5 linked regions of the Ovis aries genome follow. The protein of the gene in region 5 purifies or fractionates together with the protein of the main gene of each other region. This does not show direct contact. Links are inferred from orthologs where the notes say so. Each region holds a gene or a part of one and is shown on either strand. Other genes may lie near its edges.

The links.
Region 1: the proteins of CLK3 (region 5) and GPATCH8 purify together in Homo sapiens (affinity purification with mass spectrometry; 3 studies listed by BioGRID and IntAct, counting the BioPlex papers as one, with this or other methods). This does not show direct contact. The link is inferred for Ovis aries from reciprocal best matches to the Homo sapiens genes CLK3 and GPATCH8.
Region 2: the proteins of CLK3 (region 5) and FKBP5 purify together in Homo sapiens (affinity purification with mass spectrometry; 3 studies listed by BioGRID and IntAct, counting the BioPlex papers as one, with this or other methods). This does not show direct contact. The link is inferred for Ovis aries from reciprocal best matches to the Homo sapiens genes CLK3 and FKBP5.
Region 3: the proteins of CLK3 (region 5) and PSME3IP1 purify together in Homo sapiens (affinity purification with mass spectrometry; 3 studies listed by BioGRID and IntAct, counting the BioPlex papers as one, with this or other methods). This does not show direct contact. The link is inferred for Ovis aries from reciprocal best matches to the Homo sapiens genes CLK3 and PSME3IP1.
Region 4: the proteins of CLK3 (region 5) and TNPO3 purify together in Homo sapiens (affinity purification with mass spectrometry; 4 studies listed by BioGRID and IntAct, counting the BioPlex papers as one, with this or other methods). This does not show direct contact. The link is inferred for Ovis aries from reciprocal best matches to the Homo sapiens genes CLK3 and TNPO3.

The regions. Positions count from the first base shown.
Region 1 is NC_056064.1:44,017,800-44,024,317, forward strand, and holds the start of GPATCH8 (G patch domain-containing protein 8), read right to left. Parts: upstream 3,860-6,518; 5' UTR 3,824-3,859; coding exon 3,779-3,823; intron 1-3,778.
Region 2 is NC_056073.1:9,818,215-9,824,808, forward strand, and holds the start of FKBP5 (peptidyl-prolyl cis-trans isomerase FKBP5), read right to left. Parts: upstream 3,563-6,594; 5' UTR 3,453-3,562; intron 1-3,452. UniProt on the Homo sapiens protein: Immunophilin protein with PPIase and co-chaperone activities. Component of unligated steroid receptors heterocomplexes through interaction with heat-shock protein 90 (HSP90).
Region 3 is NC_056067.1:24,774,262-24,780,297, forward strand, and holds part of PSME3IP1 (PSME3-interacting protein), read right to left. Parts: intron 1,756-6,036; coding exon 1,626-1,755; intron 1-1,625. UniProt on the Homo sapiens protein: Promotes the association of the proteasome activator complex subunit PSME3 with the 20S proteasome and regulates its activity.
Region 4 is NC_056057.1:94,618,056-94,624,091, forward strand, and holds part of TNPO3 (transportin-3), read right to left. Parts: intron 5,473-6,036; coding exon 5,378-5,472; intron 3,935-5,377; coding exon 3,778-3,934; intron 2,516-3,777; coding exon 2,348-2,515; intron 159-2,347; coding exon 46-158; intron 1-45. UniProt on the Homo sapiens protein: Importin, which transports target proteins into the nucleus. Specifically mediates the nuclear import of splicing factor serine/arginine (SR) proteins, such as RBM4, SFRS1 and SFRS2, by recognizing phosphorylated SR domains.
Region 5 is NC_056071.1:31,715,662-31,721,697, reverse strand, and holds part of CLK3 (dual specificity protein kinase CLK3), read left to right. Parts: intron 1-1,688; coding exon 1,689-1,785; intron 1,786-2,061; coding exon 2,062-2,128; intron 2,129-4,367; coding exon 4,368-4,484; intron 4,485-5,092; coding exon 5,093-5,259; intron 5,260-6,036. UniProt on the Homo sapiens protein: Dual specificity kinase acting on both serine/threonine and tyrosine-containing substrates. Phosphorylates serine- and arginine-rich (SR) proteins of the spliceosomal complex.

The sequences.
Region 1 (6,518 bases), on a different chromosome or scaffold from region 5:
ACAGAAAGTTCTTGGGTAATTTCTACACTTTTATTGTGACCTTTAAGATAGTTGTTTTTTTCATTACTTAATCACTTACTGATCTATTACTGTAGCTCCTTTTCATTAGAAATCTCAAGCAGAATGCATTCAGAACGAGAGGAAATGAGAAACTACTTGAAATCACCAGTCCTCTGCAAGCACACAAGCTGAAGAACATTTCCTCACTAACATTCAGCTGCATCATCATTAATAGCTGCGCAACCACTAAATGCTAAGCAGTGTGTAAATATACCTCATTGCTGTACATCACAGTGCAAAAAATGCTTTCTTTAGTGAACTTGGAATTCAAAGTGTTGAAAATGTATCTACATTTGTTTGGGAACGCATGTAAGAATTAAAGATATTAAAATTTATAAAATAAAAAAATAAAAAATTTAAAAAAAAATTAAAAAAAAATAAAAAAATTAAAAAAAAAGAAACTATTAAAAAAAATGTATCTACATTTGTAAATTATACCATGCTATTTTCCACTAGTTTCTGTAACATTTCAATCTGTGAACAAATATGCCTTAATCTGGTAAATGTAGGCAGAAGTCACGTCTCATTCAGAAATTGAGGTCAGATTCTTAAAGAAGTAGTTAAAACTCTTAAAGCATTTAAAAAATAAATACATCAGCCCAAACCACAAAGATTTCCAAAAGATAAAACACCACTTAAAGGGGGTATTTTTAAATAATGTCAGAACTAAGACAAGAGTTAACAATATATCCTCTATGACAAAGGGTAACATCACTGTCAGAAGCCTTCCTAGAAGCCCTTGGGAGACCAACAAGAAACAGATATGGACAAAATGCAACAGAGTAGAAACTGTAATTGTATCACCTCTCTGAAAGCTCATTTATTCTTTGTGACCTATAAGTTTATCCTCCATATTTGATGACTCAGTTACAGTTATATAAAATATACAATTGCCAGTAAAGTTATTGGTCATGAGTACAGGTTCAAAAGTCAAAAAGCAGGAGTCTAAATCCTGGTTCTGCCATTACCAGCTGCGGATACTTGGTCAAGTTATTTAACTATCTGTACCTGAGCTTCCTCATTTGAAAGTAAGAGTAACACTACGCACCTCATAGAGTTATTGGAAGATTAGGAGACAACACATGTAAAGTCCACAGAACAGTACCTGTTTATTATTAAAATGAAGTTATCAAATGTTTTCAAACATTTCCCTGATATTAATGATTACTCTTTATATTCATAAGCGCTTCAAGTAATATGCCAATTAGGCTCTTCTCTATATTATATAAAACACATTTGAAACTTTTAAGTGTTCACAAAATCTAATAGTGAAGCCTCCTCTGACTTATACTAAATTCAAGAGACAATCCTTAAACTCCCCAAAATTTGCACCTAATGGTAAATTGGTAAAGAGTGAAATTCTACAATTCTAAATTCCCTTGCCAAATTAAAGGCGAGAAAATGATAGTCATCTAGAACTTACCAGAGAAGGTGCACAGAAAAATTTCCACTGCTAGAGATCTGTTTAAAGAAACAGGATCTATGTACTGTATCTGGAAACCTACTTTGGATTTGTTTTCAAGTGCACTCAGTAGCTTCACCTCATTTATCACTTAAAGCCTTAAAAGGCCAAGTTAACTTTGAATAACCTGACCTTGAACAATGTTTCAGATATGCTATATGCAGGAGGTTCCTAGGGCATTTTCTCTCCAATAACTTTAAATCAAATGACATCATTAATGAAAATTCAACTACATTTTCCCCTTTATTGAAACACTCAGAAAAAATAGTACTTAAAATATTTTAAAATGATTTTAAAAAATGTTAGCACAATAATTTACAGAAGTTCTAACATCCTGTAATTGTCTAATAGGTTTTCATTACTAATATCCTATTTACCCATAATGCTGGGACATCTGAATCTTAAAAACCAACATTTACCTCGCTGACACAATACAACAGAAATTGGCTATACCAATATAGAAGCAGTAGGTAAAATATATGTAATATCTTCAAAGGCCTACCAAGCAACCAAAAGCATATCGTATATACACAACTAAAGCATGAGAAGAGAAAGTCATTTAACTTGAAAAAGGAGAAGCTTTCCTAAATTTATTCAGGTGACTGCATTCATTTTCTGTTCTCCAGTTTTCAAATCTTTTAAGGTCCTGAAAATCCTGCCTGTTCAACACTGCTGAAATCCTGTGGTTAACATTTTCCCACAATACTTATTTGTCCGTATTATCTATTTTCAATTTTAAGTGACCTTCAAATTCTCTCTGAAAAGCACTAGAAGATTTTAATTATTAACATGTCTCCTTAAAAACTACCAATAAAACCCCCACATCTTGCAGCCTACTCTTATTTTATGGTGCTCCCTAAAAAAAAAAAAACAAAAAATCTCACCTTTCCCAAGGATCAAATAGCTAGTAAGAAAAAAGAAAAAAAAAAAAAAAAAAGCTAATAAGAACTGCTTTAAAATTCCCAGGACCTGCATTCCATCTTTAAACACCTTGAGATCCTGTACTGTGCTGCAGCTATTCAGCAGGCGCATGATCACAAGGCTTTTCAACAGCCTTAGGATCGTCTACTGTTGCGAAACTTCTCTTCAGAGGTCTAGGTACTAGATTGTTACATTGTTGCCTTCACTGCTTTACCTGTTTAGTTACCAACCCAAACATCCAGCAGAATTCAAACTCTTCAACTACCTTCCTAAACCTATCTAGAGTATTCCCATGTAACTTTGAGAAAGAGCTGCAGCGGGATAATAACTTGAGTTCGGACGTTCATCCCTTGAACCAAACTGCTGTTGCCAGGGTCTGCGGTAGTAATGCAGGGGTTTCTTTGAGACTAAGGACGTCATTTACCCTAGAAATAGCCCATCTCTACTAAATCCCTTCTAGTCGCTGAGATTTCTGCGGTAACAATGCTCAACAGGAAGGTACTCGAAACAGCCGAAAGACGTGTTGTTCTAATTTGGCCTTAATTTTTTCCTCAATCATGCTAGCCTCGGCAAGGGCATTTTTCCATACAACGTTTGCAACTGAAAAAAGAAAAATCAAGCTGTTGGTAGCAGTCACCACCTGCTTGTAAAGTCCATTATCGTGATGCTTTTTACAAATCTCTCAAGGTAGCATTTGGGGTTAAGCTTACATCGACCATCCTCCTGTAACTTACTGTTTTCCAAGCCCATTTAACGACGTAATGACAACAGCAACATTTACGCTCAGGGAAATCTCAATGTTTGACTACCATGGAGGCGTCTGATAACTAAAGCCCCCCTTTTCCGGGTGAGGAAATGGAAAAATAGACAATGAAAGCGATTTGTTACAGTGAGCAAAGAGGGAGAAGGATCCCATGAAGAGATGTGCGAGCAAAATCCAGGGGTTTAGGAGCCCCAGTCTCAGCAACACTCGAACCAAAACCTCCCACCCCACCCCACCCCCCGCTTTCCCCTGGGAGCCAGCCCAGCGCCCGCACACGCTGGGCACACCCGAGGGCAGCACAGCCACCCCACCCAGCGGCCAGGCTGGGGCTCCCAAACCCGCAGACCAAGCAGGACGAGGCCGCAAACCCAGCGGTCCGTAAGATACAGAGTGAGAGAAGATGCGGCCTCGCCTCAAACCCGGAGGCCCCTAGAGGAATCGGAGGCGGGAGAAAAGGGACCAGGTTCGGAAGCCACAGCAGAGCCCCGAGCGAAAGAAAACTGGGAGTGGGGGATGAGGAGGTTCTGGTTCGGCCAGCGCCTTCCCCGGACCTCGGCGACGCCCGTGTTTACCTGAAAGTCTCGGTCCTCGTTGAAGCGGGAGAAGCGGTCCGCCATTTTGCCGCCTTCACTCCTCTCAGGACGACACTCTCCGGTTCGCTCCTTCCCTCCCGCGACACCCGCCCCCTCGCTCTCCTTCTGTGCTCCCCGCCTCCTCCCACGCCCACCCGCGCGCGCAGGCGAGGGAGGGAGGAAGCGAGAATGCGTATCCCGACCAGAGCCCCGACGGCGCAGGCGCCTTTCTATCCTGGAGGCGGAACCTTCCCTCGCGTCTCGGCTTCGCGCGCGACCCAAAGCGACCCCGGCGCCGCGCGTGCGTACTCGCGCTAGAGGGCCGCAAGCGCTTCCGGAGAGAAAGGTCATGAGGGGACGCTGAGCGCCTGGATCCGGATGTTTTCCTTCAGCTCGCTTGTGTTAGTGGGTTATCTCTTTTTGTCCGCTCGTTTGCCTGAATACACAGAAGCCGACCCTCTGCTTTCTTCACCAAATAACAACATAATGTAGTGGTCGAAAGCGCAGATTTTGGAGCCAGACTTATTAGTTTAGAATCCTGGTTTACCTTGAAGATTAGTCGTCGGACGAGACAGCAAATATCCCTTCTCTCACAAGGCCTACATTCCAGTGGGGAAAATGAGATAAATAATAAAATAATTACATAATTTTAAAAATTAACTAGTACTAGGGGAAAAAAAAACACAAACAGGGTGATGAGAGCAATGACCTCCGAAACGACCTTTGATCCAAGAAGCAGCAAGGGGCATGCTGCTTTGGGACCGAGAGAACCTTTAGACCCAAAGGGCCAAAGACTGCTAATAACGTGGCATTTTCAAGCGATCGCTTGAGAGTATTTCTCAAGAGACCACAGTTGATCCAAATAAACTACAGCTCTCTGGACTTCAGTTTCCTTTTTAAAAATAAGGAAATTAGGGTGCTTGGGGCTGATGCACTGGGATGACCCAGAGAGATGGGATGGGGAGGAAGGTGGGAGGGGGGTTAGGATGGGGAATGCATGTATACCCGTGGCTGATTCATGGCAGTGTATGGCAAAACCACTACAATATTGTAATTAGCCTCCAATTAAAATGAATAAATTTACTTTAAAAATTAGGAAATTGAATTCGGTAATCTCTACTGCCCCTGCTTAGCACTGACTTTGTACGGTTTATGAATCAGATTTTTCCATCCTTTGACCTTCCTGAGCACCACACCTAGCCCTCCAGCCCCCTTAGCCAAAATACATAAAACAGGAGAGGTGGCAGGACTTTTAAAAGAAGAGTGTGATGTGCGAAGTCGCTTTAGTTTTGTGCAGCTCTGTGCAACCCTGTGGACTGTAGCCTGTCAAGCTGCTATGCCCATGAGATTCTCCAGGCAGGAATACAGGACTGGGTTGCCAGTACCCTCCTGCAGGGGATCTTCGACCCAGGATAGAACCCACATCTCTAACTTCTCTTGCATTGGCAGGCCGGGTCTTTACCACTAGTGCCACCTTGAAAAGTAGTTGACAGAAATCACACGTTGGATAAATGGCTCTTACCCTACCCTTAGAGAGTCAAATGTTTTGAGAATGTGTATATCTTCTATTCCCTTGTTGTTACCCTCTGCCTCACTTTACCCCCAGTCCAAGCAGAATACAGTGCTAAGCAGTGAAAAGAGCTCCCTATTTAAGGAGAGGCAGAACACACATAATTGAAACATTAAGAAGACCCTTCAGGGTAAATAGGGTAGAATGAATTCCATGCAGTCACAAGACACATTTACCTCTTCTCCCTCTGCCAGCCCCACTGAAATGACAGTTAAAAGGATGAGAAGGGAATAAACTCCCATGAACAAACAGATCTGAAGAAGGGACATAGCAAACAAGTGATGTCAACAACATTTGGAAGCTGGAGAGAATAGATAAATGGAAATGGCTTAAGCAAAATGGAGAAAACAAAGTCCTGGAGTAGGGAAGCCAGGAAACAAACTTACTTGAGGCTAAGGTGTAGCAGAGAAGCTCAAGAATTGGAATTGCCAGGTACCACTGAAGGTGAGGGTATAAATGGGGTTGAACACAAGAGGACTGGTTACAAAGCAGTTCAGGGAGCAGTTAGACTGTAAATCCCTTTCCCACCCAGGTAACAACTGGAGGGTTCTTCTCTGAAAATGCTGAACCACTGAGGCTTCATGTGATAGCAAAGGAGGGAGATATGCTGAAAATGGGAAGTTTTGGTAGACAGCAACATTCTGATCACAGAGTTGGCCTTCTCCTAGTGAGACACTATACCATCTGTAGGCTGGGAGGGGGGAAAAAAAAGCACAACCTAAAAGTTAAGAGTTAATGCTTCATTCTGGCTTCCCTGGTGGCTCAGAGGGTAAAGAATCTGCCTGCAATGCGGGAGACGTGGGTTTGATCCCGGGGTTGGGAAGATGCCCTGGAGGAGGGCATGACAACCCACTCGAGTATTCTTGCCTGGAGAATACCAATGGACAGAGGAACCTGGCGGGCTACTGTCCATGGTCTATTATGGTCTATGGTCACAAACAGTTGGACACAATTGAGCAACTAAGCACAGCATGTTTTACTCAGCAGATATTCTGAGGATTTCAAGCCTGGGAGATACTACTCTCAGGTCACTCTGAGGAACTTCTCTGAAGAGGAGAGGAGGGGAGGAGCCAGGATCTATAGAAGTTTTTGCAATAAAGACCAGGTAGTCAGGATATCAAAAGATTACTATTAATTAAAGAAAAGCAGATATCTCAAGTTAAAGAACTT
Region 2 (6,594 bases), on a different chromosome or scaffold from region 5:
CCTCTGGTGGTCCTTCACTCTTATTAACTAGCTGTTTTCCAAAAGGCTAGAACACTAAAATAAGCATAAAACCAACTTGCCCCATTTAAGGATTAAAGCCTTACATGTTTGAGTTTCAGCTGAATGCAGGTCAAGTCTCATCATGACAAAAATGAGGTACAAATAATTTGAGTGCTTGAATTTTAGTGTTTCAAATACTACTGAAATATCCTTAGGAACTTAGTTACGTCCACAAGGTCCTGCTATAAATTACTTTAACCTGTTTCATTTGGCAGAACTATCTTTTACACAATAAATAAGCATCTTTTTGCACCAAAAAAAAAAAAAAAACCCACTTAAGTGGCTACTGTTTTTAAATCAATAGTTATATGATTTACCTACCAACTTCCATCTAGTCTTGAATGACTGTAAATTTAATTTTCCTTAAACTTTTAATTTTCCTGGCATAATGTCAGAAGTTAAAAATGCATTAAAAAAATTTCAGAATATAAAATAATGAAAAACAAAATCTGATTACTAATCAGCTAGGTTAGAAAGTTCAAATAGTTTCAGAATTATAAAAAGTATAAATAATTTAATTGTTCAGCATAAAATAAGTACAGAATTCAGTATGCCAAAATATGTACAATATAGATTCTTTGTTAGGAATTGTGAAAAATATTAAAGGCCTACAGAAAATATTCTTAATAACAGATACAGCACGCATTTTACTGTTAAATAAACAAGTATTACTATCTAACAGTATCGTGTGATTTAGCCTCAAACGTAGCTTGTTTCACATGTGTCCCTGTTTTTCTGTAGCTTTGTTTAATCAAAAATATTTGCCCACCCCCAAATTCAAAAGGAGCCACACCTGAGGGTAAGTGACTTAAAAATACTCCCAACATTTATTACGTAGATGTAAGAATTCAACTTATATTTAATTTTGAAGCTATAATGTGGTTGACCATTTTACGATACGGTCTACCACAAGTTAAAAGTGGACAGAAATCAGTAATTGAAACATGTAAAAATTGAATTTGAAAACAGTATTTTAATTAAAAGGCACTTTTACAGTTAAAGTTCCCAAAACATGCTTTTGTAAATTAAACTATGAAATATAGCTTTAATTTATGGTATGTGATACATTTAAGCATCACAAGATAAAAACTATAAAACTTCTAATTATACACAATAGTTAGACTAATATACTCCTATACACTTAAAACAATTATATAGACCACCCATAACCCTAGTCTCATAAGATTCCTCAGAACTACTTATACAGAATAAAACTCACTCTGAACAAGTCACTGTTCAATCTACCTTCACTAAGCATCGAAAAGCCAACTCAGCTTTCAACAGTAATAATTTCTTCTACAACTATAGAAAGAGAATGTTCTTCCTTCTCTAGACTGATTGTTCTAAGCTAAGACTTTAGGAAACAAAACAACCGAAATATGTTCTTTTTCCAATGCAAGAATAAACAAAATTGAAGACTTCACTAGTTCCTAATCCAATATTTTAAAATGGTCATGTTTGAAAGACAAAGAACTCACAGCAGATAAGCCTGTTGTTTTCAAGAAAACAAAACAATTTTTATGAAAACTATCTTTGATTAAAAAAAAAAATCCCGAACAGTCACAACTAGCCTATCGGTTAGAGTGCACCTTTCAAAGGTGTTACTAATTAACATGTGACTAATAACCATTCAATGAAGCACTAATAAAGTAACATAATTAAATCAAAAGTGTAACTGTCCTTAAGAAGTTCCTTACATCTCTTATTCAAATCATATCCAGCACAGACATTTTAAAAAAAGACACATAAGAAGAAAAATCTGAGTTATCTAAACCTTCATAATATATTTTAGAATAATTATATATTATTTTTAAATTTTTTCTAAAATTGGTCAGGGCCATAACTGTAGATTTTAAGTGAGGTCAGCCGGGAGAGAGAGAGAAACAGAAAATAAGTGGAAGTATAACATAAAAACTTCCACAAGAATAAAAAGTTGTTCAACTCTACCCTCGAATTTTAAAATAAATACTCTTATGCGGGGCGGGGGGAGGGGGGAATGGGTGAAGGAGAATTCCCATAGACTATTAAAAATACTGAACCAAAATATGCCTCAACTTTTCCCTCGTCTATAATCTAACAAAACGAGAAGACAATGAAAATAAACACTCCTGTGTGCCCTCAGAGAGGCAAAGAAAGCTCCCATTCAAAGCTAAGCCGTATTCCACTCTTGTAAAGTAAATCCAAAACCACGAGCTCAAACTGCTTCATGCAGAATTTACTGAATGGCGGCCAAACGTTGTACACTCTGTCCTGAACCACAGCGAAGGATATCTCGAGCTCTGCATTCTCCATTTACAACTTGTACCTTACTATGCATGCTTTCACCACCACTGCAGAAACCGATTTTTAAACTAAGATGTTCCTCCCGGCCAAGTCAATGGAAAGAAGGCAATCTACCCGCTGGCGACACTCCCCACCTTCCCCACCCACCCCGCACCCCAAGCAATACTAGTTTTTGACTCCTATACTGCGGTCAGCACACCTTAAAAAAAAAAAAATCATTATGGGAGAAGGCGTTACAAAGCCCCCGGAGAACTGAATTACCGAACCCTGAAACAACTTTTCAGTGGCTCTCACCTGGCACTTGGGATAATCACCTGTTGGAACGGCGCTGCCCCGGTCCCCTCTTACCGGCAGTCGAGGGCGGGGAGGCCGTGTTCCCAGTCACTGGTCCCCCTCCCGGGGCGGCAGGTGAAAGACGGGGAACGCGTATATCCACACCCACCGCCCCGGGAGCGCAGACCGAAAGCCGGGGACCGCGGCTGCGGCGGGACGCTCCGTTATCCCTCCCCTCGGCGGGCCCGCCAGGTGAGCGAGGCTCCATCGCGGCCGCGATGCGTCCCGGCGCACGGCTCACCGCCGGCCCACTTCTCCCGCCGCCCGGGCCCGGGAGACCGAAGTTTCTCTCCCGCTCGCGGCGGCCGCGGCTCACGGGCCGCCTGGCTCTCGGGCGCCGGGCCGCGGGCGAGTCGGGGGCCGCCGAGACAGGAGCCGGAGCCGGGACCTGTTACCCAGGGCGGGAAACCAAAAAAAAAAAAAAAAGCCGAGTGAGGACCAGCGGGGCGCGACCGGCCTCGTCTTCCCAAGGGAGAGCGCGGCAGGGGCGGGGAGCCGCTCCCGCGGCCGCCCGGCTCCGCGCCTCCCGGAGGCGAAGGGAGCCCCGGCCCCGCTCGCCCGGCGGGGCGCAGAGGATTCCCGCGGGGGAGCCTGGGCGCCTCCAGCGCGCCCGCTCCGAGGCGTCTCGGCGCCGCCCGCCCCGCAGCGCGGTTCCCGGGCTGGGGCGCCGCGTGAGGAAGCGGCACAGCGGCGGCAGGACCGCGAAGGAGGGAACGCGGCTCCCGGGGCCGGGCGGCCACCCCGCCTCATCCCCCCCGTGGCCATGGCGCCGGTACCTGTCGCCGTGGCGGCTCGCCCGTTCTGTCGCTCTGCCTCAGCCGCGCGCCGCCAGCCCCTCAGCCCGCCCAGCAGGCCGCCAGCGCGCCGGACGCCGCCGCCGGAGACTGGCAGCGCCCGCGAAGCGGCCAGAGTCCCCCCGGGCAGCGCCCGGCGCAGTCCCGCCCCCGCGGGCCGCAGGACCCGCCTCCCATAGGGCCCCGGGGCTGTCAGTCCGCCCCAAAAGACGCGCGGGCTGTCGCTCCTCCTATCCCGATTGGCGGCCGAACGCCGTCCATGCAAATAAGGCCCCGCCCCCGGCCATTTGCACCTCCGCCTTGGTGTAACCTCCGCCTCCCCCACGCCAGCCCACGTGTCTGGCCCTTGCCCCTTTGTGGGCGCTGTAGGGAAGAGAGGGAGGAAACTGAACGACGCCCCCTCACTCCATCCCTTACCTCCGGGGAAACTAATGCCCAAGCAAGCTAGTGGACTTCACATTGGGACCTCTCTCTGACAGTTCTGCCCTCCTGTCCGCCCACCCGACCTGATTCGCGGAAGGAGAGGGGCAGGCCAGGCTTGTTTGCGTCAGGTAAGCAAGCTAGGTTAGCCCCGGGAAACAATACCAGGGGAACTGGTATTGTCCATTTGGAACTGGGGGGAAAAAATCCCATCTGGAGAAACCATAGCACGTAGCACTTGCCTCTGGACACTCAGGGACTGTTAAGACTAGGCTTTCCCTCCGTCTTCTACCTTTCAAACATGAGATCCCAGGTGACTGAGACAGCAGAGGATTTCTGTGTTTTCTTAAAAGATGTCTGTGTTCTCTGCCGCCTGCCAACGGGTAGGTCTGCTGAGCAGCTGGACTTCAGGAGGGGGCTCAGGGCCCCTGGAGTGTAATGGCCAAACCAAGATTGGGATGAAGGGGACTGAGCTAGCAGCTCCTGGGCCTTAGGGAGTGGCTCGCTCAATCTCATTCTTGAGGAAACAGGAACCTGAAGTCCCACAACTGTGGAGCTTAATAATCACCTATTGAAACCTAACATCTCCTAACTCCACATCTGGCCTCAACACTATATCACCTAGGGTCATTTAGGTATTTATGAAGAGTTTCTTCTGCAAATAACCATCCCTGCCTTCAAGAGGTGCCACCTGCAGAAACAACCACTAGAGCTGACGCTGAAACCTCCTCAGTGAGGGCAAAGGCCCTGCTTCAGGGCCTAGAAGCTTACCTTTTTACCAGATGCCAAAGAGTGTCACTGAAACAGTTTATTTGTGCATTAATTCTGCATACTAATGCCAATCGTTTAAGCATCTACTGTGATTTTAATGGGGCTTCTCAGGTGGCGTGCTAGTGGTAGAGAACCCACCTGCCAAGGCCCGACCGTCAAGAGTCACGGGTTCAGTCCCTGGGTTGGGAAGATCCCCTGGAGGAGGGCATGGCAACCCATTCCAGTATTCTTGCCTGGAGAATCCCCATGGACAGAGGAGCCTGGCAGGCCACAGTCCATAAGTTCTCTGAGACACAACTGAAGCGACTTAGCATACACCCACATGCTTTTTAACAGCCTGGAGTTAAGCACTGTGCTACGCGCACGGTATACTGAGGTGAGAGGACATTGTCCCAGACCTAAGAGACAGTGCCATCCACATTGCATGTCCGTGGGCCTCATGTTTCAGAGATTGTGACAAGATACCTGCATAGGAAGTGGCTATGCATAGACCAGTGGAGGACTCCCAGGAGCAGGGCAATCGGCTCTTCCTGGGGAGGGAGTCAGGGAAGGCCTCACTGAAGACGTGACACTAGATCTGAGTCCTAAAAGAGTATGAAGAGATGGTGTTTGCCAGACTGATGGATGTGGAAGAGGAAGAAAGGAAACTCGGAGTGGGGGAGGGGAGGGTGGGAAGAGAGGGAGGATAGCATGAGCAAGAAGAATGCAGACCTGGAAGAGCCTACTAACTGAGGGAACAGCAGGAACCGTGTGGTCAAATCTGCTGTGCCGTGTGGCCATGTCACATGGCCTGGGACCAGGCGGAGGAAGAGAGAGACACGGGAGGCTGCCAGGCTGTGTTGTAACACACCGCAGCAAACAACAACAGGCCCTGTAGATACAGCTGCAGGCTTTTTTTTTTTTTTCCTGGGCCAGAGTCTGTGGGGGAACAGTCAGTTCCGATGGCAGCCGGGCTGGCCCCACCCTCTCTCAGAAAACCACTCCGGTCACTGCACTTGCCCTCCTCAGCACTTGGAAACACGTGTGCTTTGCAATTTCCCTGAGCTTTGCTGCCCTTCAGAATTCGAAGATAACATGGGCCCCAGCTACAAACACCCGGGTGTGGGGTGAGCAACCCTCTCCTCAGGCACAGAGCGGTTTGCAAAACCTGTCACCATAGCAGGCCTCACTGGCCTGTGACCCGTGTTCCGATTAACACTTTGCTGTCGCTGTCTTGAAATTCTTAATAAGTTTTTAACAAGGGGCCCACATTTTTATTTTGCAGTTGGATAAATTGTCAGTCCCACCTGTCCCTGTCAATGCCCCTGGCCATGCTTGTGCTACTGCTCAAGCCATATCTCAGTTAAAGCACTTGGCACAGGGAACTCCCTGGTGGTCCAGTGGTTAGAACTCCACAATTTTCACTGCTCAGGGTGCGGATTCATTCCCTGATCAGAGAACTAAGATCCCAGAACTAAGATCCCAGAAGCTTCATAAGGTAAGGTGAGGTGAAGTCGCTTAGTCGTGTCCAACTCTTTGCGACCCCATGGACTTCTCCGTCCATGGGATTCTCCAGGCAAGAATACTGGAGTGGATTGCCATTTCCTTCTCCAGGGGATCCTTCCCGACCCAGGGATCAAATCCGGGTCTCCCACATTGGAGGCAGACGCTTTAACCTCTGAGCCACCAGGAAAGCTTCAGAGTGCAGCCAAAATAAGAAAAAACATTTGGCATTCGCTTGCTTTCTTCACATACATTGTATCCCTCATTCTCACAATGATAATGTGGAGAAGGCTTGTGTTACTGGTCCTGTCAGTTGAGAAAACCGAAGTGTGGCAACTTTCTCCAGGTGGCATAGCTAGGAGGCGGCAGAGTTGGTACCTGAACTCAGCCCTCCTGGGCACTATTCCATTAGCTACAGTGCCATCTCCATGTTGGTTTCGGAATCCTCTCA
Region 3 (6,036 bases), on a different chromosome or scaffold from region 5:
ACCTAGAGACCCCCCTCTTGGTGCAGCCCAATACAACCCACCCAAGTCCGAATCCCCAAGGATACTGGACCCGGCAAGCAACTTTATATGAAAAGTTGAAAGGAAAAAAATCCATGGCTTGGGTAACTGGCCCTTTTCAGGCCTCTGATAGGCCTCCCCTTTGCTGCTATGCCATGATGACATTTTTACATGTAAAAAATGTTGCGAGCAATATTTCCAGGAAATTGTTCCAGCATTCAGTGTTTTACAAACCACAAAACTCCATCAAAGCACTTTCTTCAAAACATGTGGCTGGCTGCCAAAATACCATATTGATTTTCCTAACAGACTACACTTCAGCTTAGTATCATTTTGCTTTTAGTAGAGTTGGTCAAATTGAAATGACCAAATTTAATCACTTTGGTGTCATTTCAGGGTTTGAAAGGGAACAAACAACAGAGAACTTACCAAAACCTCTAGGAAGTGCTGCCACCCCACATCAAACAAGCAGAGTTCCAGCCAGGTGTGTAACCCTGTCCCAGCTGCCACCTTCTTACGGACCTCAGGGCCTTTGACCCAGCTCTTCTCCCAGCCTGGGATGTTCCGCTCTCCTTGTCTGCCTATTAAAGCCCTCACAGTCCTATAATCAGTTGCCTTTCTAATGCCTTCCTTAACTTCCCCAACACAAGTCACATATACCCACTCCAGGCAGTTATTTCTCCTCCCTGCTCTCATTCAGTTCATTTCAGTCGCTCAGTCATGTCCGACTCTGCGACCCCGTGAATCGCAGCATGCCAGGCCTCCTCCCTGTCCATCACCAACTCCCAGAGTTCACTCAAATTCAGGTCCATCGAGTTGGTGATGCCATCCAGCCATCCCATCCTCTGTCGTCCCCTTCTCTTTCTGCCCCCAATCCCTCCCAGCATCAGAGTCTTTTCCAATGAGTCAAGTGTTCGCATGAGGTGGCCAAAGTATTGGAGTTTCAGCTTTAGCATCAGTCCTTCCAATGAACACCCAGGACTGATCTCCTTTAGGATGGACTGGTTGGACCTCCTTGCAGTCCAAGGGACTCTCAAGAGTCTTCTCCAACACCAAATTCAAAAGCATCAATTCTTTGGTGCTCAGTTTTCTTCACAGTCCAACTCTCACATCCATACATGACCACTGGAAAAACCAGTCTTGACTAGATGGACCTTTGTTGGCAAAGTAATGTCTCTGCTTTTTAATATGCTATCCTCCCTGCTCTCATTACACCCTACATAAATCCTTCCACAGAACTTGCTACCTTGTTTGCCTAGAAACACAGATGCTCAAATGTTGAATTCCACCTCTCCTGTTACTTTTTGACTTTGGACAAAGGTTCTCAACCTCTGAGATTCTCAGTCTCTGTACTTCATAGAGGAATAAAATATCACCAGCACCGAAAGTACTTAAGTGTCTAATGAAGAGTGGTTATTATGTTGAATGAACAGAGACACCAAGGTCAAAGGTGTCAGAAAACACCAAATCTGACAGGGGAGCAAGGGAGGGCCACAAGGAACTTCACCAAGCCCTGTGCTTAGGTAACTCTGTTCTGACTACCATTACTCTGGCATCTTGGGGCACACAGTCAGAGGGAGATTAAAGTCGTGTGAATGCAGGCTGACCTCTTATGCTTCACAGCTCCTGCCAACAGCTTTGCCTGGGAGAACTTGTTCTTGGTTTCTATGGGTTTCACAGCTTTCTTCTCCACTTCCTTCTTGTTTTCTGAAGAAATTCCAACCTTGTTGAGATTACTGTGAGTTACAGGTTAAGGATCAAACTAAGTAAAAAGAAGAGCTATAGCAAGACAGTGATAAATCAAGACGAGCACTTCAGCTCTGCCATGGAATGTTTGGCCTACTTATTTAAAAAATGCCCTCCCCAGACTTTTCTTTCAGTCCAGTGTTTAGGACTCCATGTTTCCACTGCAGGGGGATAGATTCAATCCCTGGTTGGGGAACTAAGATTCCACATGCCAAGAAGCACTGCCAAAGGAAAAAAAAAAAGCCCCCCACCTTTATTCTGCCAGTCAAATCCAGCTGATTTAAAGAGAAATGAAGATGACTAGGAGGAAGATCTTTGGACACCTCATGCAAAGAGTTGACTCACTGGAAAAGACTCTGATGCTGGGAGAGATTGGGGGCAGGAGGAGAAGGGGACGACAGAGGATGAGATGGCTGGATGGCATCACGGACTCGATGGACATGAGTCTGAGTGAACTCCAGGAGATGGTAATGGACAGGGAGGCCTGGTGTGCTGCGATTCATGGGGTCGCAAAGAGTCGGACACGACTGAGCGACTGAACTGAACTGAGGAGGAAGATGGCAAAGCAAGCCCAAAATAATACAGAGAAGCAATGTTTCTCCCTTTGATTCCCAAAGAAAATCCTGAGGATGACCAGAACACGTGCTATTACCAAAAACATGGCCAATATCATACTTGTTGGGGAAAACGAAGATCCTGAAGAATCCAACAGAAAAAAGTGTAGCTCCCCTGAATGCAGAAAAATTATTTGATTTCCCTCTAAGGATAAAATAAAATTTTGCAGAGTGTCCTATGACTATTAGTAGCATTCAGCTTTAGATATTATGAAGACTAACTCCTATTCTGTGGATGTAAGACATCAGAATCATCTTAAGGCTCATTTAAAAAACAGGGTCCCTCCCCTGTCCCAAACCTACTTACTGAATGAGGACTTCCAAAGGCCCAGGAACCTGTATTAAACACTCTGAGGGTGATTTTAATGAGAAACCCCTGTGCATAGACAATACAACACAAGGACTGAAAAGCTGTTTAAAAGCATAAAACCACCAGTTCATTTGTTACATACTGTTTTCAAGTTTGATGTCAATCTATGGCTCCCAAGGTTTGTCGATTTCTTTTGTTCTCTTCACCAACTGCCTCCTCTCCTTCCCTTTCATGCTCTCTCACAACGTATTAGTCAATAAATAAGTACTGGAACATGGTGCAATTCCTTACTTGAGATGAGGTGGTGCCTTGCTGGAACAACAGCGACATCTAGTGCTCAAGATATCCAAGACGTATGTATTATCAGCCCAGAGGAGTGGAGGTGGGACTACACGGTCTAAGCTATTCCTGTATGTTTGAACAATGGAAAAACTGGGTACCAGAAATTAGGAAATTTTAATTTCTAATTCTAGTGTCTAATTTTCAGGGGCTCAATTCTTGTGGGAACCAGTTATCTTAAACATTTGTAATATTCAATAGGGATTATACTTTATACTCAGCATTATTCTGAGTTTCATTTATATTTGATGTTTTTAAGGTAATCATGGAAACTGATATGTTAATACTAAATGTTCATTTTTTTTTAAGAATAAAAATGAAATAGAAATTTCATCTTTTTAGTACAGAATATCAAAATCCATGCGCATGCTGTGATTTTTACCTACAACTCCACCATAAAGGATAGAAACTTTCAAGTACAACAGAAAAAATTTAACAAAATCACACATTTATAATACCAAGACAAAGACAAAAACCAACATTTAACTTTTTATTCTTCTTAAGTGAAGAAAAGCTCTCAACCTCTTTTTTGGTGGGCAGGTAGGGAGGTGTTAATATTTTTGATCCACATCCAAGGCCCAAGTCCTTTTTCCCCCTTAAGACCCTCTCCCCCTAAAATGTTTTAAATATACAAATACATTTCAAAGTCTCAAGGAATAGACTACACGAAGCAGTTTTTAAAAGGTCACATCGTATTTGAACACACATATTAATAAATACTGTTCTAACCTAAAGAAAACAAAAGTTCTGTTTATACTGGCACAAACTGCAGCTTACTTGTATTCACAAGTATCACATTATGAAATATATCTTATACCAACCAAGCAAAACCAAGAACCATCTCCTGATTTAGAGCTTTAATAAACAGATGTCTAAACCTCAATTCCTACCTCAACATGTCTCTGGCTACATGCATGCTTGGGATTAGCACATTATACATCAGTGGGTTGGAAGGCTTTGTTTCAGTTTTTCTAGACAGAACTTTCCAAGTCTCCAATAAAAGCCACTAATTACCCTGGAGCCTCCTCAGTGTTGTACTGCAATGTTATCAGGACAGAAAAGTTTCTTTTGCCTCACGGCTGCCCTGTTCATCCTTCCCTTTGAACTGAAAACCCAAGGGCCTCTCATACTCATACCACACCACCAATACTCTCCAGCATGTGGCCTTGGGAGACACTGTCTTATTTGCTTGCCTGCCAAATTAAGCAAAAACAAGATGTAATTCAAGTGAAAATGTATTTTTTCCTTAGAGGTAAAAGCTGGATGCCTGAAACAACGCAGTACATATACCTGCCCATCTCTGCAAACATCAATGCATAATACCATCCTGGGGTCATGACACAATAGAGTTGGGGAGGGAAGCTTCAGAAGAATCAACCTCAATTCTACAGTTGGGATGGAGGTGTGATTTTTCTATCATAACATTTTTCTATCAAGTTCTATCTTAGTGTTATACCAGAATTCCACTTGGAAAACAGAGACTGGAAGCCATGTCTTTCACTACCTGTTCAGAGCACGTTTTGTGGCAGCATGTTGCTACCTTATCTCAACCACCGTCAGTCACCTTGTCTTTAACCAAATTCCTGGCAATCTGTTCACATTTTCTCCTACATAACTCTTTAATGGGACCCACTGCACACACACTGCAAAAAAAAAAATACCAACTAGTGCATACACACTGGAGAAGGCAATGGCACCCCACTCCAGTACTCTTGTCTGGTAGGCTGCAGTCCATGGGGTCGCTAAGAGTCAGATACGACTGAGCAACTTCACTTTCACTTTTCACTTTCATGCATTGGAGAAGGAAATGGCAATCCACTCCGGTGTTCTTGCCTAGGGATGGGGGAGCCTGGTGGGCTGCCATCTACGGCGTCGCACAGAGTCGGACACGACTGAAGCGACTTAGCAGCAGCAGCAGCAGTGCATACACAGTCATAGCAACAATTTTAGAGGTAAAAAAGGCTGTTACCACACTAGTGAGGTTATTCAACATATAAGCTTGAAATACTCAAATAAGCTTTCTCACAGGAGGAAGTCGCTAAGGTGGCCTTTTTAACCTCTTCTATGAGTCATTCATTAATTTCTTCACACATATACTAAGAACCTACTATATACCAAGCACTGGAGAAATCAGTGGTGATCAAGTCTTTGTTCTTATGGTGCTTACTTTATATTCCAGCACTAAAGAGGCAAACAAACCTGTAAGTATATAAATTAAGATTTTCAGGTAGTGACATACTATTTTTAAAAATGACATGATAGTCAGTGATGGGGGTGGCTGCAACTTTAGATGGAGTGCTTAGGGAAGATCTCTGAGGAAGGGAGCTGAGACCCAAGTGTCATGAAATGCAAGCCCTGTAAAATCTGAGGGCAGAGCATTCCAGGCTGAGGAAATAGCAAATACAAATGCCTTGAAATGGAATCACAGAGCTCAGTATGAGAAGAACATAAAGACGGGCAGTAAGCTGGAGTGTGGTAAACAAGAACAAGAGTAGTTCAAGATACAACAGGGAGGTGAGTTGGCCTAAATCATGCAGACCCTTGTAGGGCCTGATTAAGAATGCAGATTTTAAGTCTAAATGCAACAGGAAGCCACTAGTGTTTGAAACAGGAAAGTTATATGATCCCACATGTTTTCAAAAGTTCCCCAGACTATCGTCTAGAGAATGGACTGGGAGGGAGAACAGAAGCAGAGACAATTAGATGGTCACGTAGTCCAGAGAAGGTCTAGGACGACTGCAGTGGCAACAGAGACAGCAAGAGCTGGAAGATTTGGAGTACATTTTGGAGGTAGTTTGGCAGATACCAGAAAAAGAAGAGATTTGGAGGGAGGTAATGTAGTGAAGGAAGGAGTAGTGAGGCGTGGAACTGAGAATTTTGATTGAGCCAAGTTACATTTGGGATGCCTAGTTAAGACATGCACGTGGATGCCAGAAAGATAACAGTGAGCCAAAGCAAAGTCCTCTTGGCTGCTTTCCCTACCTCTCTGTGGAGACAGACCAGGCTGTA
Region 4 (6,036 bases), on a different chromosome or scaffold from region 5:
CAAAGACATTCTTCCTACATAGGCCAGCTGCTGTTTATCACTCACCTAGTGACTTGTTTGTGGAAATCTGTAAGTTGTTTGTGTGTCACTGTGACGGCTCCCCCTGTTGTCTCCTTTGGCAAACCTTTCAAAGAATTCTCTAACCATCGACAAAAAGTCTGTACAGAGAAGAAGGATAAGCATTTTAAAGGGAGGCAGGGCTTACTCAATTGAGACCCTACAGGTAATAACAAAAACCCACAAGTTTTCCTTAGTAGCATTAGCGTTCCAGACTTGGAAGTAAATAAAGGAGTTAACAGAAGTACTATTTTTGGCCTTCCAACCTACTGAGGGTTGGAACAGCCTATAAAGGCATGCCCAGGCTCCCTTCAAGGGGGCAGCAGACATCATTTCAGGTGGAGCCCTTCTACCTTGGAAGTAAAGTCTCTTCTGGATGAAGTTATTATTCTGTTTCTATCATTAAACATGCAATATTTTAAAAATCAGACTGCTGCCAAAAATCTCTTGAGCTTGGAGATCAAGGGCAACCCAAAGCAAAAGTTCAGGTACTAGAAAGAGCAGGGTCAAAAAGTATAACAAGTAAACATTTTAAAAAGTGTATATACAAATATGAATCCAGAATCTTAAGGATTTTAAGGTCATTTCTCTCAGTAGAAGTCACATCCAGTCAGTTCCTTTGTGATAACTGCCTAGTCTTTAGGTTAAGAAAATTCTTTTTTGTTGCTCTTTTTGTTTTCTTTTTTGGCTCTAATTTTTCTTCATGTCTTTAAGTAGGATGTATGCTTTGTTCATAGTTTTTAGCTGAAAAGAACTTTTTTATACCTACATTTTTTACATTATGTATTTTTCCACTATGTTAATTTATGATCACAATGGGATTTCCAAGGGAACACAGTGGAAAAGAATCTGCCTGCCAAAGCAGGAGACACAAGAGATGTAGGTTCGAGCTCTTGGGTCAGGAAGACCCCCTGGAGAAGGAAATGGCAACCCACTCCAGTATTCTTGCCTGGAGAATCCCATGGACACAGGCACCTGTGGACTACAGTCCATGGGGTCGCAAAAAGTCGGACACAGACTGAGTGACTAAGCACATGATCACCACAGACTAGACCAAAAGTAACATTCCACTAGAAATGCTTGGAAGCACCACCGAATTCTCCAAGTGTTACCTCCAAGGAAGACAACACACCACTCAGACAGAAACAAGAAGAGGCAAACAGGGAGAACGAACTCTTAACTGACAACATTTTGGCATCCAAAATGACCCATAAGTTAACCATAGTATCCCCTGAAAATAAAAACAGTAAGAAACTAAATTGTATACTGTCAACTAATATAGGACAAAGGAGATGAGAATATCCAGTGTAGGAAAGACAGCCTTCTCAATAAACAGTGCTGGGATAGTTGAATATTTGCATGTAAAACAAAGAAACTAGACTCTTACCTTTCACCACTCACAAAAAGTAGCTCAAAACAGGTTAAAGACTAAACACAGACCTGAAATCATCAAACTCCTTGAAGAATACAAAGGCCTAAAGTACTGTGACATAGGTCTTGGTAATGATTTTTTGGCAACGACACCTAAAGCACAAGCAGCAAAATAAACAGAGGAAACTACATCAAACTTAAAAGCTTCCGCACAGAAACCATCAACAAAGTAAAAAGAAAACCTAAGGAAAGGGAAAAAACATGTATTTGTAAGCCGTATACCTGGTAAAGAGGTTAGTATCTAAAATACATAGAGAACCAACCCACAGAAGTCTAGCAAGAAAACAAATAACCCAGTTAAAAAATGGGCAAAGGACCTCAACAAACGTTTCTTGAAAGAAGATACATGAAAGGCCAACAGATACATAAAAAATGCTCAGTGTCACCAATCATAATGGGAATGCAAATTAAAACTATAAAGACATATCATCTTAAGGCCTGTTAGAAAGGTCATGATCAGAAAGATAAGAGATAATAAAGGCTTACAAATCCAACGTTTTTTGTAAAGTTAGATGTATATAATAAGGTTTTTGTTACCTGGAAACCAAGTATATCTATTAAAAAGTAAGAGTACAGAAATTTTATTTCTATTATCAATGATGTTTGGAATAAACTTGTCACTCTGCAATGGCTCAAAGAGTATTTTTTAGAAAAACAAAAATACTACTGTATTAGATTCTTACAGTGACACAGACATATTCTCTAGAATCCTTCTACTGGCTCCTTCATTTAACAATTAAACATAGCAATGTAAGACATACCACCAAGAGCATACAATAGGACTAGTTTCAAAGTTAGAGTCAGCCTCTCAAGAAACTGTCCAAGACTGAAAGTGGGTTCCTTATGCAAACAATCTTACCGGTCTGTCAACCTGCATGATCTCCCAGAGCACTTCGGCCACATCCGGTAGGGTATACGGGGGGAGGCAGAAGCAGCATGTGTGAAGCAGCTGGCTTACAAGCTGCTGTCCAAGCTGGTTCATCACCTGTCCAATTAGTTCTTTCCGTAATTCAAAGTCTTCTTCATGCTGTAAGAAAACAGGAACAACAGGAAAGTGCTAATTTCAACTTTCTGAAGGGCAAGTACTCTTTCCCCTTTAGTAATTTTCTTTCTCAGAGAAGAAAGTACATATAATAGCTGGACTCACAAGGTGCACTGTCTGTCACAAGGAAGAAAACATTAAGAGTTTAGTTTCAAGGAAACGGGTAAGGGCTTCAGTTGAGATTAACCTTAACCCTTAGGTTTTTCAAGAATAGAACACAGAGGAGAAACAATGGTTAGAGATTAAGAGTAGCGATCCTTTTAACCTTTTATTCTGGTAAAAGATAAACTATTCCTATTTCCTTTTTTAAAAAGCAACTGAAAAAAGAAGACTTCTATCAAATATCTAACCTTCTCTATCAAAAAAAATCTTACTTAGGAACTTCCCTGGGGATCCAGGGTTAAGATCCTGCACTTTCATTGCTGGGGGTTGGGTTTGATCCTTGGTCAAGGAACTAAGATCCCACATGCTGTGGGTGGCCACAAAAATAATAAATTAAAAAAAAGATCTTACTTATTTTCTTCCTTTTAGTCTTTGAATATACATATTTCTAATACGTTGGAAAAAAAAAACCTTTTAAAGTGCCTTTCACTTCTAGCTATTTACCTTCATTCCCTCTCTTTTTTTACTGTCAAAACTCTTCAATTAGTCTATCACATACTTCTTCACTGTTCTCCCTTACTTTCAACTCTACTCCACATCTAGTCAAATCTACGTTTGAAAATTCTGTGAACCACTTTACCTCCAGCCAAAAAGGTCTCTGAAGTATCTACTAACAAACTTAGTCCTTTCTGATTATGATTTATATACCCATTTAGATTTTCCTCCAATCCATCCAAACGGCTCCACTGTGGTCCCTCCTAGTCCAGAAAGTCATCCCAACCTACTTCTTTCCAAAGAGTTTTCCCTCCTCTGATCTCAAAGCAATCACAACTTTTATCACTTATCTGACAATCAAATATTGCCTTGCTGCTGTTGTTTAGTTCTTTACAACTCTATTTCTCTCTTCAATTAGACACCAAATGGCTTGGAAGCAGAGACAGTTTAGACTAGTTGATACAGCTTACAACATGTAGTATAGGTTGTCTTAAATCTACTAGTTGATATTTTGGTTAGTGAATAATCCACTATGGAATATACCTACCAACACAGATCAAATGAGATATTTCTTTTTCCATAAGGAATGATATATGAGGTGATAATGAGCTACAAGTAGAAAAACTATTTAATACCTTGTTTATACTTACATCATTGGCTACCCCTGTATGGATGAGGTCTCGTAGGAACCTCATGACACTACAATTGGCATCCCGGTGGTCCAGGGTAGTAGAGGCAATGGCCCACTGTAAGATCGGGATGACAACTTGGCTTCTCAGCAAGGTAACAGGGCTACGCTGAATAAACCTGGTATGTAAAGATAGGCAAGGTAAAAATTACAAAATTAGGCTATAAAAATGTAACCAGGGTAAAAGGCAAAACTATGGAGACAGTAAAAAGATCAATGGTTGTTAGGGATTGACAGAGTGGAGGGTAGGAACATGAATAGGTAAAACATAGGGGATACTGACAGTACTAAAACTATTCTCTATGATGCTGCAATGGTGGATATATGTCATACATTTGTTCAAACCCATAGAAAGACCTTGGCTTCCCTGGTGGCTCAATGGTAGAGAACTGGCCTGCAATGTAGGAGACACAGATTTGACCCCTGGGTTGGAAAGACCCCTGGGTTGGAAAGACCCCTGGAGAAGGGAATGGCAACCCACTCCAGTATTCTTGCCTGGAAAATCCCATGGACAGAGGAGCCTGGTGGGCTATGGTCCATGGGGTCGCAAAGAGTCAGACATGGCTTAGCGACTAAACAACAGGAAGACCACCACCAAGACAGAATCCTAATGTAAAGTAAGTACTTTAAAAATGATGTGTCAATGGAAGTTCATTAATTTTAATAAATGGGCCACTCTGGTGGGGGATGCTGATAGCAAGGTAGGCTGTGAAGGAAGGAGGGGGGAAGCTAAGGGTATATGGGAACTCTATACAATTTTCTCAGATTCTCTAATGTTCATAGAAAATCTCCAAGAAAAAGTAAAATAACATTCCAAATTTATTTTACCAGGCAATGATTTGTGCAAAGAGAATCTCTTGAGATTAATTTTTCAAGAAACACACAAGGAAAACAGGTTGACGGCCCACCCAACAGTTTTCTCATACCAACTCAATAAATAAATAAATAAATAAAAAGGGTTTTCTAACTTGTCCAAAAATGAATCAAAAAAAGTGTTCATTACCAACTGATTTGGATCAAATTCCTGAGCTAGGGACTAAGAATGAATACAAATGTCAGTGTTACTAGTAAAAGGAATTTAAGCAACAAATAGGGTGGTAGGCTAAGAGCAGAGATGGGAAGTACAGTATCAGATAATTTTTAAAGTACCTTAAAAGTCTAAAAAATTTTTATTCTGAGATAAGATTATATTTTAAGGATGCTACACTTCTCAAGAAAAAGTTAAAGTCAAGCATGATATCACAATAGCATAAAACATTAAAACCACACAGGATTCTAGAGACTGTCTAGTCAAATGTTCTTGCAAAACTCATTTTTATTGTCTTGGGTGTGTTCCCTCCTTTATGAAAGGAGCTCAGTTATTTCCCCTTGTGCTTATCCAACTCTTCTTCATTTATGGCAATACTCTGGTTCACGATTTAACTTTGGATTATGAATAATTACTCTACCTACTTCTCTTACCTCATTTTACAGAGAAGGAAACAGGTAAGTGTTAGGTGACAAGACCAAGCAATGATGAGGATGACTGATAAAATAAAAGGTTGCTTTTCAGAAGGACTGACCTCGTGGCTAGCCTGAATAGGTCATCCACTGTGTCAGGGTGATTCTGGAGTCCATTCTGCTGTTCTAAGAGCTGAAAGGTGGGGACGCACAATGCCTAAAACAGAAATGATTTTAAAACAAATGCTTGTAAATAAATGCCATGGGATTCAGACTTGCTAAATATCACAACATACACAGAGAACAAAGGTAAAAGCACAGATAAGAAAAAGACTGTGATGAGATTCAGATCAAGAAAGGGAAGACAAAAATCCTTCTCAGTTGACATAAAAAGTATTCACATATGAGGTCTATATTTCAGAAAGGGTTTAGGGTACAGACTTTTGTTGATGAAATTGGATAGATGTCATCTCAAAGTTTTAGAAGTTTCTGGAAGTGACAACCGTGCTTATGTACTAGATATGATCTGGTCAACTAAGGGAGTAGCTGATATTTTAATAATACTAATTATGAAATGGCAATTTTAAAGGGAAATACCTCTTGGGAAAAGGAGCACCATGATTTAACTCCCTAATATATTTTCCCCTCTGACTAGGGAGAGGGTAAAAGCAGTATATGGGAAGCCTTTTCCAATGCCTGCTATTTACCCTAAGGTGAGACCATCCCTGCTAAGTAAACTAGTTCACTGACTGTTCAGGCAAGAAATTAAAAATATAATCAT
Region 5 (6,036 bases):
GTGTATGTGTTGTCTGGTCCAGTTGCAGGGCTGAACAGGGGCCCAGCTCCTCTGTCTTCTGGCCCACTGGCAATGGCAACTTAGGGGTTCTGGTTCCGGCGCTGGCTGGCCTCTGGCCTCCCTGTCTCCACACTGCTCCAGGCACAGGCCACGTGTGTGAGTGGCCAGGGTCACTTCTTCAGGATCCTTAATAGGGTTGCTGGTATGTGGTCTGGAGCTGTTTGACCTGGTCCTTCCCACCCAGAGATTGCCCCGCCACACAGCTGAGTGCTCTAACTGGCGTGGACTGCATCCACCTCTGCAGTCTCCTCTCCACACCCCTCACCAGAGGCCTGGAGGCTGGAGTGCCCATGGGTGGAGGGCTGGGTCCGTCCGTCAGTGAGCTTGGACTGGGACCTGCCCTCTGACCTTCAGGCTTGCCCTCTTCAGTCTAGCCTCTTCATGTGAGGGGCAGTCAAGGCGAGGGGGATGAGCTGCCTGTGGGGCGGGGCAGAAAGGCCCCAGCTCCAGGCCGTGTCCAGTTGCAGGTCACACGCCCAGAGCAGGGCCTGGAAGCATTCTTCTTGCGGAGTGTTGTACAGATCTCTGCTGAGACCAGGATCCTGCTCTGCGCTCAGCTCTCTGGGAAGGAAGGCCAGTTTGTGTCTTGGAGGGTATATGCCGTCTTGTCTTCCCTTCCCAGCCCTCTGCCTTGGCTCCCTGGCTCCCGGCCTCGAGGCCCCGAGGAGTGGTGGTGCCGCAGTGGAGGGGGGCCAGGTGTCTCTCTGCCGAGCTTTCCCGTGACTTCTCTGAGTGGCCGTGGGTTGAGGGTTGACTGGGCACACGGCATGGCCTGGTGCCCTCTCTGCACACTGCCACAGGTGTGTGGCTCTGCTTCTTCTCTTTTTGGTGCCCTTTGTTGTCATGAGGCTCAAGTTGGGTCTGGCCTGTGAGTCGCCTCGGTGCCAAGGCCAGGGCAGGAGCTGGCTTGGGGCCTGTGTGGGCCGTTGTGGTGGTAGGCCTTGGAGAGTAGGCCGGCCCAGAGGATCCAGCGCTCCTTCTCTGCTCGAGGCTGGTGGTGCAAGGGCTGCCGACGGAAGGCTGGTTCTGCTGGTGATGCTGAGTCTGGCCACAGATGCTGTCTAGGGGCAGGTGGCAGCTGTCGGGTGTGTGCAGGACCGCGTGGGCAGACAGACTGGGCATTCTGCAGCTGAACCAGAGTGGCCTCTGACCGTTCTGGATGATCTGACCAAGGCTCGGCCCGCCGTCTTCTTGCACCCTTCTCACTGCGTCTTCACCCTGGCTGAAGCCGACACGGGAGGGCCGGGAGGGGGAGACTCAGTGGAGGAGGGAGTCAGGCCTGCGACTCTCCACATGGCCCGGCCCCTTAGCGGCAGAGGCTGGGCGTCTTTCTGAGCATTTGCGGCGCCTTTCTTTTAGATAATGTCCGAGTTTTCTTTACATACCTGTAGCTGTTTTTACTTTTCTGTTTTTGAAGTCAGTTTGTGTCTTGACGTGTCCCTTGCAATATCCCTATCGTTATATATGCTGTGTGCCTTATGAAATGCTGGGATCTGGAAAATCCAATCAACCAACCCACCGGCTCCTCACCGTCTCCACCTCTGCCTTTGACTGACACCTCAATCTGTCAATCGGAACCGCCTACCATGCGATTGGTCGGATGGCGTTTCGGGGGGCGGTGCATGCAGAGAAGCCAACAGAGCAGTAAGCGCAGCAGCCGGAGTGTGGAAGATGACAAGGAGGGCCACCTGGTGTGCCGGATCGGCGATTGGCTCCAAGAGCGATGTACAGCCACCTTTCGTAAAACTTTACCTCTCTACTTTCTATCCCCCTTGTTAGACGAGACCTCTCCTGCCCGAGGGGCCGCTATTGCGCGTGGTGCCTTAGAGGGGCCACCAGTAATTGCCTGAATGACACAGACTCTAGCAACTTCTGTTTTTAAGAGTGTAGCAGTGAGAAAGAAACCTTTTATGTTTTTGAGAATTTGAATGCTGTGAACTTGCAGGAGCTGCCAGCCCTCCGTCCTCCAGGCTCTCATGCCCTGTTTCTTTTCTCTCCTAGATGAGATCGTGGGGAACCTGGGTGAAGGCACCTTTGGCAAGGTGGTGGAGTGCTTGGACCATGCCAGGTGAGCTCTCTTCCTGGGAAGAGCTGGCCCGAGGTTCTTGAAGGTGGTGGCAGAGCTTAACCTTTTTCTCTCTGAAGAGTAGCACCAAACTCCTGTGCATGTTGGGTTTTTGCTGATCCCCTAAAATAGGGAGAAATTCCTGGGATTCCTGGGCGTGTGGCATCTCTGCCTAAGAACTGTTGGTCACTGAATGGTGCTGTTCCAGTTTCCCCACTTCCTCAGGGCTGTGGTGATCAGAACAGGGCAAAACCCTGGCCCCTCCATGGTCTGGATCTGCTTCCTATGAGCTCTTTTTAGGGGCCTGGCAGGGGTTTGGGCATACTGCTGAGTCCAACTCAAGCATGAGCCTCCACCGTCTGGAGGTCTGCCTGAGAGGTCATGCAGGCCCCCATTGAGAGGAGCAAGACCCTGGGCTTTCTCACCAAGTGGGCTGCTGCTTTCTGCAGCGTGGCTAGAGTGTGCTCGGGTAGAGCAGGGGTACACCTGTGTGAGTTGGGATCCTGCTGGGGGTCCCTTGCCCCCTTATAGACTGAAGAGTGAAAAATTTTTTTGTCCCTTGCCATTCCTTGAGACCAGAACCCTTGCCTCCTCTCCCTTAGGCTGGGAGGCTGCCGCCTGCGAACCCACTGCCTTTGAGCCTTAAATGGCCTCTCTTTGGTGTGGCACTTTGGCCAGAAAGTGCTTGTGTCCTTGCTGTCTCATTTGAGCCACGTGTTGCCTGTACGTGACTCTTGTATGATTTTAGGGATGAAGAAATATGCTCAGGGTCCGCCTGTATCCCCCAGCTCTCGAATGGAGGAGCCTGGGTACTGCTGTACTTGGCGCTTCCATGTTGAGGGGTGCCTGGAAAGGACAGTTAAACCTAGCAATTCAGCCCGCCATGTGACCCCAATTTAAGGTGGTGATTATTACCAACGAAGCCTCCCTGGGCACCCAGTTCCCATTTAAACACCCTTCAGACCCCTTGTGGCCCAAGAAGTTAGGGACATGTAGAGTATACAGTGGTAGAGGTGGCAGATCTGAGAGCTGTGCCGCCTGGGGCTCTCTGTGCTGTCACTCTGAGCAGCCAGATGGGAAGCGAGTCTTTGAAGTCACTAAAGGGCAGGCCCAGAGTTCAGGGAACCTTTAGCGAGTCCAGAGGGAGTTGGCCAGTGGGCTTGTTGTGAGAAGGCAGAATTCAGTTCCACATAAGGAAGGGCCGCCCAACTCTGGCAGTAGCTGTGTGGAAGTGATGAGCTCGTCTCAAGGGTCGGAATGCTATTAAGGGATGCTGTTCCAGGAGTCTGGAGTTACGGCTTTTCCTCTGAGGTCCTTTCCTACCCTGAAAATCTGGAAAAATGGGATGAGAAAAATGCACGGTGTTCTAGAAAATGCCTCTGCCCTTCGACCTGTGAACCTTTCTGGCACCAAGGCCAGCTTCCCAGAGGCCTTAGGCCACACCCTTGTGGGCCAGGGCTTATCACTCTGGTTTCCCACTGGGCATATGAGCACTGGCTCTCCCTTCCTGAGAGTGTTGCGCCTGGTAGCCTAACCGCCCCAGTCATTCTCTGCTGGGCACCTGCTCGTGGCATACAGGGGTAGTTCTGGGGGTAAGGTGGGAGGTGTGGAGCAGGAGTTATTAAAATCCTCATTGGACACTAAATAAGGGTTCCTGGCACTCAGGGTCTCTGACAAATGCCATGGCTGGTATTGAGGCAGGTGGGGCCAAGAGGTTCACTGAGGGATCGGTCCTGGGGTTCAGTGAGGGGAAGAGCCTCTGCTGGCACCTTTCCCTCCTGCCAGGCTCTCACTCCCTCCTGGAAGCCCAGGAGGAGCAGTTTGTGTAGAGTTGGTGATGTGTTCAGGAAAGTCAGCAGGTGCAGCAGAGGGTTCTGAGTGGGTGGCCTAGCCAGGGTCAGGACTGACTGGACTCCAGGTCAGGTAACTGAGCAAGCTCTAGGGCTGGTGCTGGTCAGCAGGATAGGGCTCTGCTCCTCTGCCCACTCCACCCAGGGGCTGGCAGCAGCTGAGATCATAAAAACCTAAGACTGGCACGGTTGTCAACAGCAGCTTCGTATTGCACAGGTAGAGGTCTGGAGTTGTGTGGGGCAGGCTGGGCATCAAGAGTCTGCTGTCTTCAGGGCAGCCTTGTTCCTGGAGTCCTAAGTAGCATTTGCCAGGAGTCGCTGGGTTGGGGTGGAGGGTGGGGGAAGGGCTGCATACCTTTTCATGAGGACTGCTGCTTCCTTCCCCGGTCCAGAGGGAAGTCTCAGGTTGCCCTGAAGATCATCCGCAACGTAGGCAAGTACCGGGAGGCCGCCCGGCTAGAAATCAACGTTCTCAAGAAGATCAAGGAGAAGGACAAAGAGAACAAGTTGTGAGTGTCGGCAGGAAATGGGTGGGAAGCTTCCTAGGGGTCAGTGTGTGTCCGGTCCAGTGGCCCAGACCCACTGGGACTGAGCAGTGTCTTTTGCCGGGTTGGCACCATGCCTTCTCCCAACAGCCAGAGCAAGGGGAGTCCGGTGAGTGAGTCTTGCTGGAAGGAACATCTGGGTTTCAGTCTAAGCTCCACTGCAACCAGCTCTCTGTTCTGAGGTGGCCTCCTTGCCCTGCATTTGTGAATTAGAGGCTTCACTGGGTTGTGGTGGGCATTAGACAAGATATAAACCCAAAACTGTTCAGGGTGCTCATGTAGTCAGAGATATCCGAAGGAGCACACAGACACGGAGCGTTCCCCTCCGCTAAGCACTGTGCTGAGCCCTGCAGACTCAGGAAGCTCGGCAGAGGGCACTTGTCCTGTGGAGTGGCCTGGTTATGCCATCTCTCTCTGAGAGCAGGGACTGTGCCCATAGTTTTCTCTTTGTGAATCTGCATCCTGTCTGTGACCCAGCATCCTGGGAGGGAGTGGGGACTGTCTTCACCTGAGGAAGCAGGTGGGCAGCCAGCCCCCAGCACAGACCCTGAGCCCCATCCGTCCTTCTCCAGCCTGTGCGTCTTGATGTCTGACTGGTTCAACTTCCACGGTCACATGTGCATCGCCTTTGAGCTCCTGGGCAAGAACACCTTTGAGTTCCTAAAGGAGAATAACTTCCAGCCTTACCCTCTACCACATGTCCGGCACATGGCCTACCAGCTCTGCCACGCCCTTAGATGTAAGTTCCCACCTCAAGTGGAGCAGGGGGAGCCTCCTGTCTGCAGCAGAGGCACCTGGTGGCCCTGCCCTCCCATCAGGTGCTCCAACACATTGCTGACTGTTCTGCTGGGCCCGAGACACTAGGGCCCCTTTGGTTGAAAGGCCTCCAAGTAGGAATCTGTGACGACGGAGAGGCTGCAGTCCCCTCCAGGGGCCTGCGGAGCTGGCCTCTGACCCCAGGCTCTCCGGAAGAGAAGGGAGAGAGCTGCTCTAGGATTAGCCCCGTACCATCCCCATGCCTACCTTCCTGCATAAGATGAAGAGGTCGCAGACTGACCTGGTAGATCCCACCCACAGATCCTGTCACACAGACACCATGTCTCACCATCATTTCCCGTCTGTCCGCCAGTCTCTTAAGGTGGTACCTGTGCTCAGTGCTGCAGGATTTGTAGTGGTTGAAACAGGTTGGAAAGGCTCACTGGAGAGAAGGTGGCTAGACCTAGAGCTAGACTAGCAGGGTCTGCATAGATGGCGGGACTGGGGAGAGCGTTCCAAGCCAGGTGAGCCACCCAGCGCTGGCACAGAGCCTGGCATGTGCTGCAGCTCACTGTGGTGAAGAGAGGGCCCATGTAAAGAGAGACGGGCTACACTGTCGGGGGGGTCGAGTGCCAGATGGAAAAAGTGATGAATGGCAGGGTACAACCATCGGTGGGACAGGGTTGGAGGGAAAAGGCAGACGTCCCCCTGCTCGGGGATGAGGGGAGAAAGGCAGGACTGGCTTCATTGTTTCATAGGG